Linked DNA regions of Cricetulus griseus. The protein of the gene in region 1 interacts with the protein of each later gene in a pairwise test. Links are inferred from orthologs where the notes say so. Each region holds a gene or a part of one and is shown in the gene's direction. Other genes may lie near its edges.

The links.
Region 2: the proteins of Rab6a (region 1) and Bicd2 interact in binary tests that used the Homo sapiens proteins (3 or more experiments, as listed by UniProt). The link is inferred for Cricetulus griseus from reciprocal best matches to the Homo sapiens genes RAB6A and BICD2.
Region 3: the proteins of Rab6a (region 1) and Pmm1 interact in binary tests that used the Homo sapiens proteins (3 or more experiments, as listed by UniProt). The two-hybrid records come from large-scale screens. The link is inferred for Cricetulus griseus from reciprocal best matches to the Homo sapiens genes RAB6A and PMM1.

What each region holds. Positions count from the first base shown.
Region 1 is NC_048596.1:98,905,314-98,909,549, reverse strand, and holds the start of Rab6a (ras-related protein Rab-6A), read left to right. Parts: upstream 1-1,304; 5' UTR 1,305-1,736; coding exon 1,737-1,806; intron 1,807-4,236. UniProt on the Homo sapiens protein: The small GTPases Rab are key regulators of intracellular membrane trafficking, from the formation of transport vesicles to their fusion with membranes.
Region 2 is NC_048596.1:269,172,690-269,176,335, forward strand, and holds part of Bicd2 (protein bicaudal D homolog 2), read left to right. Parts: intron 1-3,450; coding exon 3,451-3,646. UniProt on the Homo sapiens protein: Acts as an adapter protein linking the dynein motor complex to various cargos and converts dynein from a non-processive to a highly processive motor in the presence of dynactin.
Region 3 is NC_048595.1:379,087,714-379,091,359, reverse strand, and holds the end of Pmm1 (phosphomannomutase 1), read left to right. Parts: intron 1-1,384; coding exon 1,385-1,460; intron 1,461-2,161; coding exon 2,162-2,277; intron 2,278-2,620; coding exon 2,621-2,743; 3' UTR 2,744-3,288; downstream 3,289-3,646. UniProt on the Homo sapiens protein: Involved in the synthesis of the GDP-mannose and dolichol-phosphate-mannose required for a number of critical mannosyl transfer reactions. In addition, may be responsible for the degradation of glucose-1,6-bisphosphate in ischemic brain.

The sequences.
Region 1 (4,236 bases):
CTGTCTGATACTGTTTTCAAGTGATCCCATTTAGACGAAAACTTACATTTAATTATATTCATTATGTAATTGTCCACACTATGCTTAGTTCATTTTTTCTGATAGCATTCACCATTACCTTATTGGATCATGAATCAGGTTGACAAATCTGCAAGAAAATGGAAATGCTTGGAATGGCTAATTTAAGGGAGACCCACTCAAGAATATGCCGAGGCCCGGCTTTCCAGGGGAAAGGATCGGTCCACATTCCTTCCCCGATTTGAGATCTTATCGAGGCTCTCCTCTACTATGTTGTGTGGTCTTTTCCAAAGGGGCATCCCTATGTGGGCAGTCGTTTCTAATCTGTAATATGAGGGGTTCGATTTATATGACATCTAAACCCATTTCTATCACATAGAAGATGACCATCATCTGATGTTACGGATACCTTTGAAGAAGGGCCAACTAACAGAGAACCAAGGAATTAGATGGCTTAACAATAAGGAGGTAGCTGAGGTTCAAATAAGACAACCTGGATTTCGTTTCATTGCTATGTGGATTTTGCAAGTCATTTCCTCCTGCTGGGCTCCAGTTTCCTCACCCACAAAATGGAGAGGACCTGCTTCTGGTAGTTACGAAACTCCACGGAACAACGGAGGAAAATGTAGGTAGGAAGATGCCGAGCAAGGAAGCTCGTTTAGAAAGACAGAGCAAGTGGGTGAAAGGCAGAACTGAGGAAGGCGAAGCAACGTTTAAGGTTTCTTATCACCTTTGATACACCTTTGCACAACCCAACCCCACCCACGCATTGCTGCGGTCATCCCACCTTGGTTCCGGCTCCGCCTTCGTCCCACCTTCTTTTCCCTCCTCCCTCCTCCAATCGCGCGCCACACTTTCGATGGCCGCCAGGGCCCTCAGCCTTCCCGCCCCGCCCCCTCCCCCCACCCCCCCCTCCCCCCCACCCCGCGCGAAGATGGCGCGCGCTCTCGCGCCGCCACCTCACTCTCCTTCTGCCTGCTCTCTGCTTTTCCTGATTGGCTCAGCTTGACAGTGACGTAAGCATCCGCCCCCTCCGCCCCACTCCCCTCACTTACCCGGAACTCGGTCCCGCCTCCTTCTGGCTTCTCCAGACGCTGGTCGAAACCTACGCGGCCCCTTTCTCCGCTGCACGGGAGGAGCCGGGAGAGCTTGGGAAACCAGGAAGGCGCTGGCGGTGACGAGCACGCACGCACGCACGCACGCACACCCGAGGCCGGCGGAGCGGCAGGCTCGCGCCCGGACTCGCCCCGCACCGCGCCAGAGGCTCGCGCACTCCGCGGGTTGGGTTGCGGTGGTGGCGGCTGCTGTGGGAGCCCGAGCGCTGCGCGTGCTGGGTTCCAGACGCGTCTGCGGCGCTCGCCCCGCCACCCTCTTCCTCCTCTGTCGCCTCAGTCTCGGCGCCGCGTTCTAAAGGAAGGAACGGCGCTAGGCTTGCGAAGCCCGAGCGCACCCCTGGCTGCCTCCGACACCGCCCTGCGTCCCTTCGCGGCCGCGGGCCTCGCACGGTGCTAGGCGACTCTGCGGGGAGGCGGCGGCGGCCGCCGGTCGGTGGCGACTCGCGCTCCCTTCAGCCTCGCCCCTTCGCCCGGCCCTGCAGGGGCCGAGAGGACTCGGCGGCTGCCCTTCCGCTCGGCCCTCTTCGTCAGCCGGTTAGAGCTGCAGCGGTCTGGGAGAGGTCTGTGGGCTGAGGCGGCGGCGGCGGCTCCTCCGGCTCCATCATGTCCGCGGGCGGAGACTTCGGGAATCCGCTGAGGAAATTCAAGCTGGTGTTCCTGGGGGAGCAGAGCGGTGAGTGCGCGGCTCCCCCGCTCCTGGCAGCGGGCCGCGGCTTCCCCGCACCACCCCCAGTGCGGCCCTTCTGTCCACTGAGGCTCCCCGCCGGCCTCGCTCCCCCACTCCAGCTCTTCTCCGGGGTCCTCTGGCTGCTCTCTCACCCAGCTCCTCCTCGCCCCCAGCTCCTCTCTAGCATCTATCGGGCTTTTAGCTTAGACCCCGGGTCGCCGTCCGGACACGGCCGCCCGCAGCCAGGCCCTCCCCGGTCCGTTCGGTCCTCCCCAGTCCTCACCCCGCCCAGCCTCCTGTCCATCCCTTTCTTCCTCGGCTCTCCGTGGTCTCCTTTACCCCTACGGGCTTTCTGGCGCCCCACCCTTATTCCCAGCCCTTTTTCCGGTTCTCACTGGAACTGGGAGTGAGGTCCCATTCCGGGAAGCCCCCCACTCCTGGGAACAGGCCCCTCTTCAACCTTGGCTGAAGGAGGGTGGGATTTGGGCGTTGTTTTCCCCTGAGGTTTGGCTCTGAGTTGTACAGGTCTTCCAGAAGGTGGGAAGTGGTGGTCGTAGAAAAACACAATTCTCACCCAGTTTTCACCTAAATGAAGAATTAGGGTTAAGAGAGTTAATATATTCAACTCGAGGCGACTTGAAAAGAGGTGGTATTGGCAGTGACGATTTTTGTCCCTTAGGTTGGGACTGGTTGGAAAAACCTTATTTTCTTTTGATTTTCATCATTGATAATTCTTTTGGCAGTGTTGATGCCTTTTCGATCTCTGCCAGATGCTATGTCATGATCAGTGTACTTCGAATTTTTCTCACCTCTCTTCCATTTTTTTTCTCATTTCAACATGGAACATCATTTGAGTATCTATGATGCAAGCAGGGATTAAGGGGTGAAATGTTAATCATTCATTTTTTCTTGAGTATTTTCCAGTTACATGTTTAAGATGCAAGTGAGAAAAGAATTAAAATAATAAACATCTTTGTTTTGTAGGATTGCCTTTGGGCAGTAGGTCAGTAATAGAGCCATCATCCAGCTCTCTAAATTAGATTTGAATACCATTTGAGCTAACTGATTATCTTATGCCTAATATTTCATAGAGTCTTGTGAATGAAATTGTACAGTCATTTACCTGGTCAAGGTTCTGCAGTCACTGTACTTCCTATTAGATACAAGGTCCTAATTTTGTGATGGTTGTCATTAAGATTACATATGCCAACAGCTTTATTTTGTATTATACAAACTGAACAACAATTCAGATTATAATCTTCCTTTTTCCCTCCATATTTTAGGTTTTGTTATTAGCTTGAACTATTTATACCAATTTGGAACTTTATATCAAGTCAACACTGGTTTAATTTTGCCTTTAGCTGGACATGGGAAATAATTTTTCTTGTGTGTTTAGATTTGTCTTCCTTGCAACCTTGTAGGATGGAAATATCATGTCTCCCTCCTGTTTGCTTATGAATATTTAAGTATAGACATGTCCAGGTCAGCAAGGTGGCTCAGTGAGTAAAACAGGTTCTTACCACCACACTTGACGTCCTAAATTCAAAGAAGGGGAGAACCAACTCTCAGAAGTTGTCCTCTGATCTCCATGAACACCCACCTACAAAAAAAATTTAATGTAGTAATAAAAAAATTTTAAATAAAATACACATTTTCTTAGATGAGTAACTTGGTGAAACCTGTGAAGTTGATCCTGAGCCAGTTAGTGTTACATGGCAATTTGAAGACAGTCCCATATATAAAATAAAGTTCATTGGCCATTATTAATAAATAGGTTTGAATGTACTTGTTATGCAGTCTAGGAAGATGGTTGACTGCCTCATATTGTGTATAGGACTACTTAGTTTTCACAAAATCCATTAATCTTTCTATTGAAGCTTTTAGTGTGAGGAGAGATCTTAACTTGTAACTATGTGCAGGTTTCCTTTGAATTTCTTGAGTGTTTATGTTGCACATATTAGTTTTATGACTTCTAATTTATTTTTTCGTTGCTTTTTTTTTTTTTTTAAAAGGTAGAATTACATTTATTAGCCCAGGCTGGCCTCAAATTTGGAGTCCTCCTGCCTCAACTTTCTGAGTGCTGAGATTTCAGGGGTGATCCACTGCACCCATTTTTCTTTCTTTTTTTTTTCTGTTTTGAAATTAATTTCTTTTTTTGGCAGTCTTGTGTAATGAGGCTGGTCATGAACTTTGTATAGACAAGATTTGCCTTGAATATCTGATGCTCCTGCCTCTACCTAAGTGCTGGGATTACAGGTATTTGCCACTATGTTTAGTTTTATGTGGTGCTAAATGAGCACTATACAAGTTAAGCTGTATCTTCAGCCATTAGTAAATTAATCTTTTAAGTTGGTAAACAAAGTAATGTGTTTCAGTACAGCTTTCTCACATTTATGTATGTGTGCATGGACAGAGACAGTCTTAGTGTAGCCCAAG
Region 2 (3,646 bases), about 170 Mb from region 1:
TATGTTGATGTATCAACTTTTTTTTTTTAATTGGGAGTAGTACTTCATTATATGAATATACTGTATTTAATTTTTTTAATTTATCCACCGCCCCCACCCCGTGTACACATGCCGCTGTGTCTGTCTGTCTGTGTGTGTTTATAGAAGTTAGAGGACAACTCTGTAGAACTGACTCTCCTTCCACCTTTATTTACCTGGGTCTGGGGATTGAACTTAGGTTAGTAGACTTGAATGGCAAATGCTTTTACCTGCAGAGCCTCTCTCAGCCCTTGTACTTTAAAATAATGAAAAGCTAGGATTACAGATGCACACACTACCACATCTTGTCTTTATGTAGCTTTGGGCAGTTCATACTCAGGTCCTTATTACATGGCCAGCATTGTACCTACCCACTTAGCCAAGGTCTCCCCAACCCACTTGTGGTGGTTCTTTCTCCCAAGATGGGCCCATCTCTATTGCCCAGGCTGTTCTACCTTCCTGCCTCAGCCACCTGAGTAGCTGGGATTACATGCATTCACTGTTGACTATCATGCTCAGATCTGAGGTTCTCTCTCTCTCTCTCTCTCTCTCTCTCTCTCTCTCTCTCTCTCTCTCTCTCTCTTTCTCTCGTCAGTTTTCTACTGCAAGCTGCTGGGCCTTCGACTGGCATTGTGAGGAATTGATAGACAGGCTCCTTGTAATTGACGCGCACCTCACTGTTGCTCTCATGGATTTGTTAGGCCCTGCTTTGATTGTTTTTGTTCCATTTGGGCATTCACTTTGGCTGTCTTCCAGAGTTGGTTTATCCCTCAGATGCATGGTGTGTCTGTTGTTGTCCCTGCCTTTCCTCTTCACAAGTTCTTTCTACTGGCATCCTTTATGTCTTGTGTTTGTTCTTTGCTTCTGAGTTGAGAATTTGGTTCTGGTACCTGGCCCTCAGCCTGCCTGCCCTTCTGGGCCGCTCAGAGCTGTGTGCTGTCTGCTAATCCTTTCTTCCTCAAGTCTTCACCGTAGAGCTCACCTGTTGGCAGCTGGATGTGTTTGTTTTCCTGAATGTGTTCTGAGCTTTGTTCTAGGATGTAGTGGCTTGGAAATGGATTAATCCTTTCATGGTCTGTCTTTACACTTGGCTCTGCTGTGCTAGAGCAGCGTGTAATCCAGGCTGATTCTGCCAGGCCCCAGACATGCTCTCCCCAAGCCTGTGAGTCTGGCTAGCGGGAACAGGCTTGTTTTCAGACTGTGGCAGGGATATTGTTCCTGCTCTGCCATATGGTCCTTTCCCCTGGCTTCCCCAGCCCTACACTGACCATCCTCAGTAAAGATTCACTCTGGGCCTGAGCTCTGGCTGCCCTTACGTCCCTGTCAATAGACACCTTCTTCCACAGGTCCTGCCATCAAGCTCCATCTGAAGGGGTGAAGGATGTTGCAGGATTCTCCTCATCCTGTCATTTTACTTGGCATTACAGACTTGAAAACTGATGCTTATTATTTTATCATATTTAACATTGTTTGTGTGTATGTGTGTGGACACATACCACATTCATGCCCTGCACATACCATAATACACATATGGAAGTCATAGGACAACTTGGGGAGTCAGTTCTCTCCTGCCACGTGAGTCTTGAGTTTTAGTACAAAGGTTGTCAGGCTTGACGTCACACGCTTTTACCTGCGGAGCCATCTCACCAGCCATGTTGCATCAGACTATTCCTGTGCTTTCCAGTTCTTTTCCTACACAGGAAGTGGAACCTGTCCTTGTGACTGTGTGTCTTCTCAGTTGGAGGTAGATGTCTCCATCAGTGTGTTTGAAAAGCTGTCCAGGGCTGCTCCTGTGCCCTAGGCTGGTAGCTTGGGTGGAGGAAGAGAGTTGGGGCCCAGGTTGGCAGGCCTGGGCTTGAAGATTGTATCACGCTGCTTAGCCATCACACTTTGGGGAAAAGTTCTGAGAAGTCCTTGCCCCAACTCCCAAGTTTATGGGTGTGTCCTAAGCAGCCACAGGTGCTGGACTCTTCAGTACAGTCCCAGAGCCCTGAGTTGGGGGCCAGTTTGGTGTCTGGTTCCCTTTGTGTGTCTTATGGTGGACAGGTAGCATGGGTCAAGTTCTGTGCAGGTAGCAATGTGTTACTTGATCCTTCCCTAGGATCAGGGTGAAAGCAAACAGACAGAAATCACAAATCTGAGCTGCTTTGATTTGTGTAGAATGGATGCTCTGTTAGAGGACTGAGAGCACATGGGCAAGGCCTGGCTACCTTGTGAGGGAATCCAGTCCCCTGCAGGAGTGTTACACTGTGATCCCCAAGTTGCCCTCTGATACATTCCCTGGGTCTACTGGGCTGTGCATCCTCTGGCCCCTTGGGAGGCCTTCTCACAGTGTCTGGGACACGGCCTATGCCTCAGTCTAGACCCTGCTCCATTCTGCCAGTTCCCTATCAGGATGAAAATTGCTTTCTGCATTTTCATGTGTTAGTGTTAGAAACTGCTTCAGCTCAGTAGCATCCCTGTACAATGTAGCTTTGTATGTTTTGCTTATTGTTTTCTTGGACTGAGTTCCCAGACCTATGAAGTCATAAATGAAAGAAAATAGTCCTGTTCTCTTTTAAATCTAGTGAAAACCATCATATTCTTGTTCTTTAGTAACTCTTCTCTTACTATTGTTTCTTACCATGAGCTATGACTCCTATAAAGAGTCAGGCAAGGAAGGCCAAGGAGATAGCTCAGCCTCTCAGTGGGGTATGTAATGGAGGCCAGGCTGGCCAGGGCCCAGTGTGTGACTGGCACGGTGTTGTGGGTGAGGCCAGTACTTGTTGCTCTCACTTTGTAGGTTTTCTTCCTGAGTCCTAGAGTCCCACACCTTGCTCCTCACCCCAGTGTCTGAAGCATGCAGATACATGCATCTCTGTGCCTATGTACCCTGAGATGGCTACTCTAGCTAGTTGTTACTGTGCCCTGTCCTTAGGGCTGGGGGCCCAGCCCTGGTTTGTCCCAGACCAAATGAAGGATGATTTGACATCAGGTAGCAGGATGGAGTGGCTCCTCACCCCTTGCATGTAATGGCTAGCACAATTTTGTAAGCCTGGAATGTATGTTGGGTGTGCTGCTCTAGGGTTGTTTCCCATTAGCTTGGCCAAGCTCACAGTATAGACCATTTGCTTCCTGGTCCTGGGAACTTTCCAACTGGCACACATCATCAGGCCTCAAACTTTGTCCCTTACAAAGGAAATTCCACCTATGTCTGTGACCCTATACTCTTAGTGTTCCTTCCTGTCACTCCACATGATGCTCCTAAGACTAGTTTGGTTTCACTCAATGTAATGAAACGTGAAGCGTGCCTGCTACACACATCTCAATGTGTGTTTTAACATGTGCACAGCATGGAACTGCTTCACAGGTCTATGTTCCTGTGGTCTTAGGCCTCCATTGCTTTGTGGCCCAGGGACACCCATCTCATGAAGGTCTTTTCTGTGCACACAGGCATTTGGACAAGCACACACAAACCACAAAAAGGTGGCTGCTGATGGTGAGAGCCGGGAGGAGAGCCTGATCCAGGAGTCAGCCTCCAAAGAGCAGTACTATGTGAGGAAGGTGCTGGAGCTGCAGACAGAGCTGAAGCAGCTTCGCAATGTCCTCACCAACACTCAGTCTGAGAACGAGCGCCTCACATCCGTGG
Region 3 (3,646 bases), on another chromosome or scaffold:
CCCTTACATGTCCTGCACAGAATCTCCTGGTTCTGGGGGTGGATCCCAGGGCCTCATACATGCTAGGCAAGCGCCCTCCCTACCACGGATCCACAACATCCCCACCCCAAGAAACATTTTCTTTTTGAAACAGTGAAGCCTGGCCTCCAACCTGAGGCTTCCTGTTGGCCTGCCATGAAATGCTTTTGAATGGATGAACAGGCGTTTTATTCCCATGGTATCGCTGTGGAAACCAAGGCTCAGAGTAGTGACTTTCATCCCGGGTCACTTAAGGAGTTGGTCACAGAGTATAGTTTTGATAAGGCTGACTGGTCCTGGGTGTTTCCGAGAGTGGGTAGGTCTTGACGGTGCAACTCCCACAGTGTACAGAGGCCTACAGGGGGCAGTGGACACAGGAATAAGGGACTTTTCCTGTTGGAATAGTTAGGATGATCATGGCCCCTTCCCATGTTCCTCGGGGAGTCCCAGCTCTATTTACCAAGTAAGATTGGAAAGGCAGCTTTACTGACCGGATGGGGATGGCGAACAGGTAATTAACTTGGCCTGGACCAGTAGGGGAGGCTGCGATATGGCTGGCATCCCAGCCCTCTCCCTCATCTCTGGTTCTTTTTCCCCTCCTCTAGGATTGGGATGTGTGGATGTTTCTGAGAACTGTGTTCCTGTACAAAGTCCAAATGGCACAGGCCTGCCTAAACCTCCTGCAGACTCCAGGGAGGGGTGGCAAGGCGCCTTCTTTAGATAAGGACCCTGTCCTCAGGAGCTTAGCTAGGGTCATGAAGCTGGGCACATTAGGGCTGGGCTTGGTATATGAAGCTGTCAGATGACCAGCCATCAGCTAACGGAGGGAAGTGCAGCCCCCAGCCCTGGGCTGTGAGTGAGTGTGAGCACCCACAGTGCTATCTCTTGGCCACACTACCTGCTGGGAAGGTAAAGTCAAGGCCAGCAGGGAGCTCACATCTCTCAGCCTTTTTGCTTGAGGGAGAAGCAGCCGGTGGCCACTGATTACTCCTCTATCATTTAGTTCTGGAAATGGGCTTGGAGAGGTCAGGTAACTTGCCTAGGGCCACAAAGCTAACCAGCATAGCCACCAGGCCTAGAACCCAGTCAGCCTGTAGATCTCAGGGTGGGTCCTGCCTGACCTGACAAGACGCTCTACTCCCATGCCCTCCCCCTTCTTATGCCTCTATACTCCTATTAATGGGTGTCACCGATTTCTGGGTCTAAGCCCCAGCACTGACAACAAGGCAAGGTGACCTTCCACTTCCCCATCTGTAAAGTGGGGGCCGTATTCGCCCAGAAGACCAGGGAGCTGGTGAGGTATGGTTCCAGGTGCGGTATACAGATGGGCCCTCTGAGCCAATATGCACCCTTCTTCCCTGCACAGAAGGAGAAGATCCGGGAGAAGTTTGTGGAAGCCCTGAAGACAGAGTTTGCTGGCAAGGGGCTAAGGTTCTCGCGAGGTATGTCTTTCCTGCGGTGGGCTCAGGCACAGCAACAGACACTATCCAATTTTGCCCTTAGGCAAAATTCACTTCCTTCAATGACCACCTGATGTCCAGTGGTCCCCACCCTTCCCGCACCTAGTTCAACTGGCTTGAATATCAGTCAAGGGCTCTGCAGATCTTTCCAAAGCTGATTCTATTCAACCTCTGGCTCTGGCTGCTCCCCTGAGATGCCTGGGGCATATGGTAATCCCAGCTGCCATCTCGGCTTGTTCCCCAGTAGCCAGAGGGGAGAAAAGGTGCCTCGGTCACTTAGAATCTATAGTTGTGTCACTCTGTTGCTCAGAGCTGTCACCTTGGGTCTCACTGGCCATGCTGGCTGAGTGAGCGCATCTTTGCTCCTGCCTGTTGCCTGCCTGGATGAGACCCTGCAGATCTTGAGTCTGCCCTTGATGGCTCTCAGCGTTGTTGAATGAACTAAGTGCTTTAGAGCCAGGCATGCTGCCACAGGTCTGAAACCCCAGCACTTGAGAGGTAGAACAGGAAGATGGGGAATTCAAGGCCATCCTTGGCTACATAGTACAAAGCCAAACTGGGTACATGAGACTGTCTCAAAAATAAAGCATGTTTTGCCCAAGTTAGCCTTGTGAGCTTCCCTGACAAGCTGCCAGCCCTGTCTGTCCCTCCCAGGATTTTGTCGTAACTCCCCACATCCACAGGAGGCATGATAAGCTTCGATGTCTTCCCGGAAGGCTGGGATAAGCGCTACTGCCTCGACAGTCTCGATGAGGACAGCTTCGACATCATCCACTTCTTTGGCAATGAGACCAGTCCTGTAAGTGTGACCCTACCCAGTTCCCCTCAACCCAAAGCACCTGAGCTCAAGGCCAGGACACAGGGCAATAGAACAAAGACCTCTCAGAGCATCCCAGAAGACTCTCACTGTTCCTACTCTGCAGTTCAGAAGACTAAGACCCAAGAAGGACTAGATGCTTGTTCCAAGTCAGGGCAGGTCTGAGAAGCCAGGAGAGTGGGATTCCTGGCAGGTCTGAGGAGGGGCAAGTCTGCAGGAGCCAGTTTGGGAAGGGTAGCTCTTGGGCCTCAATCCTGGGCACCTCCTGTCCTGTAGGCATCACCTAAGATCATCTCTTCTCTGTCTGTCCTTCCTCTGAATGCAGGGTGGGAATGACTTTGAGATCTATGCGGACCCCCGGACTGTCGGCCATAGTGTGGTCTCCCCTCAGGATACTGTACAACGATGCCGAGAACTTTTTTTCCCAGAGACAGCCCATGAGGCATGACGGTGACCACAGCTAAGCATTGGGACCTTCAAAGAGCTCTGGCTAGGCCTGAAGAGAGAACCATGGAGTGCCAAGGTTCCCATTCCTCTGGACCAGCATGTAGCATCATGTGGGGCACCACGAGGCCCACTCACACAGGACAAGGGTCTGTGGCAACTGTCCCAAGCCAGGTGGCTCCCCATAAATAAGACTTATTCCTGCACTCCACTGATGGCCCCTGGCTTCTGATGCTGCTGGTTTCTGTAACAGAATAGGTTTCACCCAGCTGGGAGATAGTGGTGCATGCCTTTAATCCCAGTACTAGGGAGGCAGAGACGGGTGGATCTGAGTTTGAGGCCAGCCTGGTCTACAAAGCTACACAGAGAAACCCTGTCCTGAAAAACAAACAAACAAAAAAAATAGGTTTCACCCCAGAGGGAGGCATGTGAGTTATGCTATGGACCGTGCTGGCCACAACTGACAAGGGAGGAGTGACAGGGAAGGGGCACCTTCCTGTCACAGATTAAAGGACTGTCACAGATTAAAGTTCCCAAGACAAGGTGTTAGATGTGTCTGAAGCTATGATGGTTCCTGTCACATGCTCTTCGGTCAGGGACAGGGGCTTGCCCCAGGAGGTCTTTGACCCATTGAAGCCTGAACATGACCAACATGCGTGTCCTTCCTCAGCCCCTTACCCAAGGATTCTCACAGACAGGCCACTCAGAGGCAGGGTGGGTCACAGTTGAGTTTATTGCCAGTGTTAGGAGGGGATGGGTAATCCGTGGCTGGGGACTCGATACTGCAGGGCCTGAGAGGAGAGAGGAGGAGGCCTGATGCCCCCTGCTACTCAGGCAGCTTCAAAATGATGCCTGAAGAGGGCCTGCTCACAGGAGGGAGGCCTGGGTGGCCCTGGGGTCCACCTGT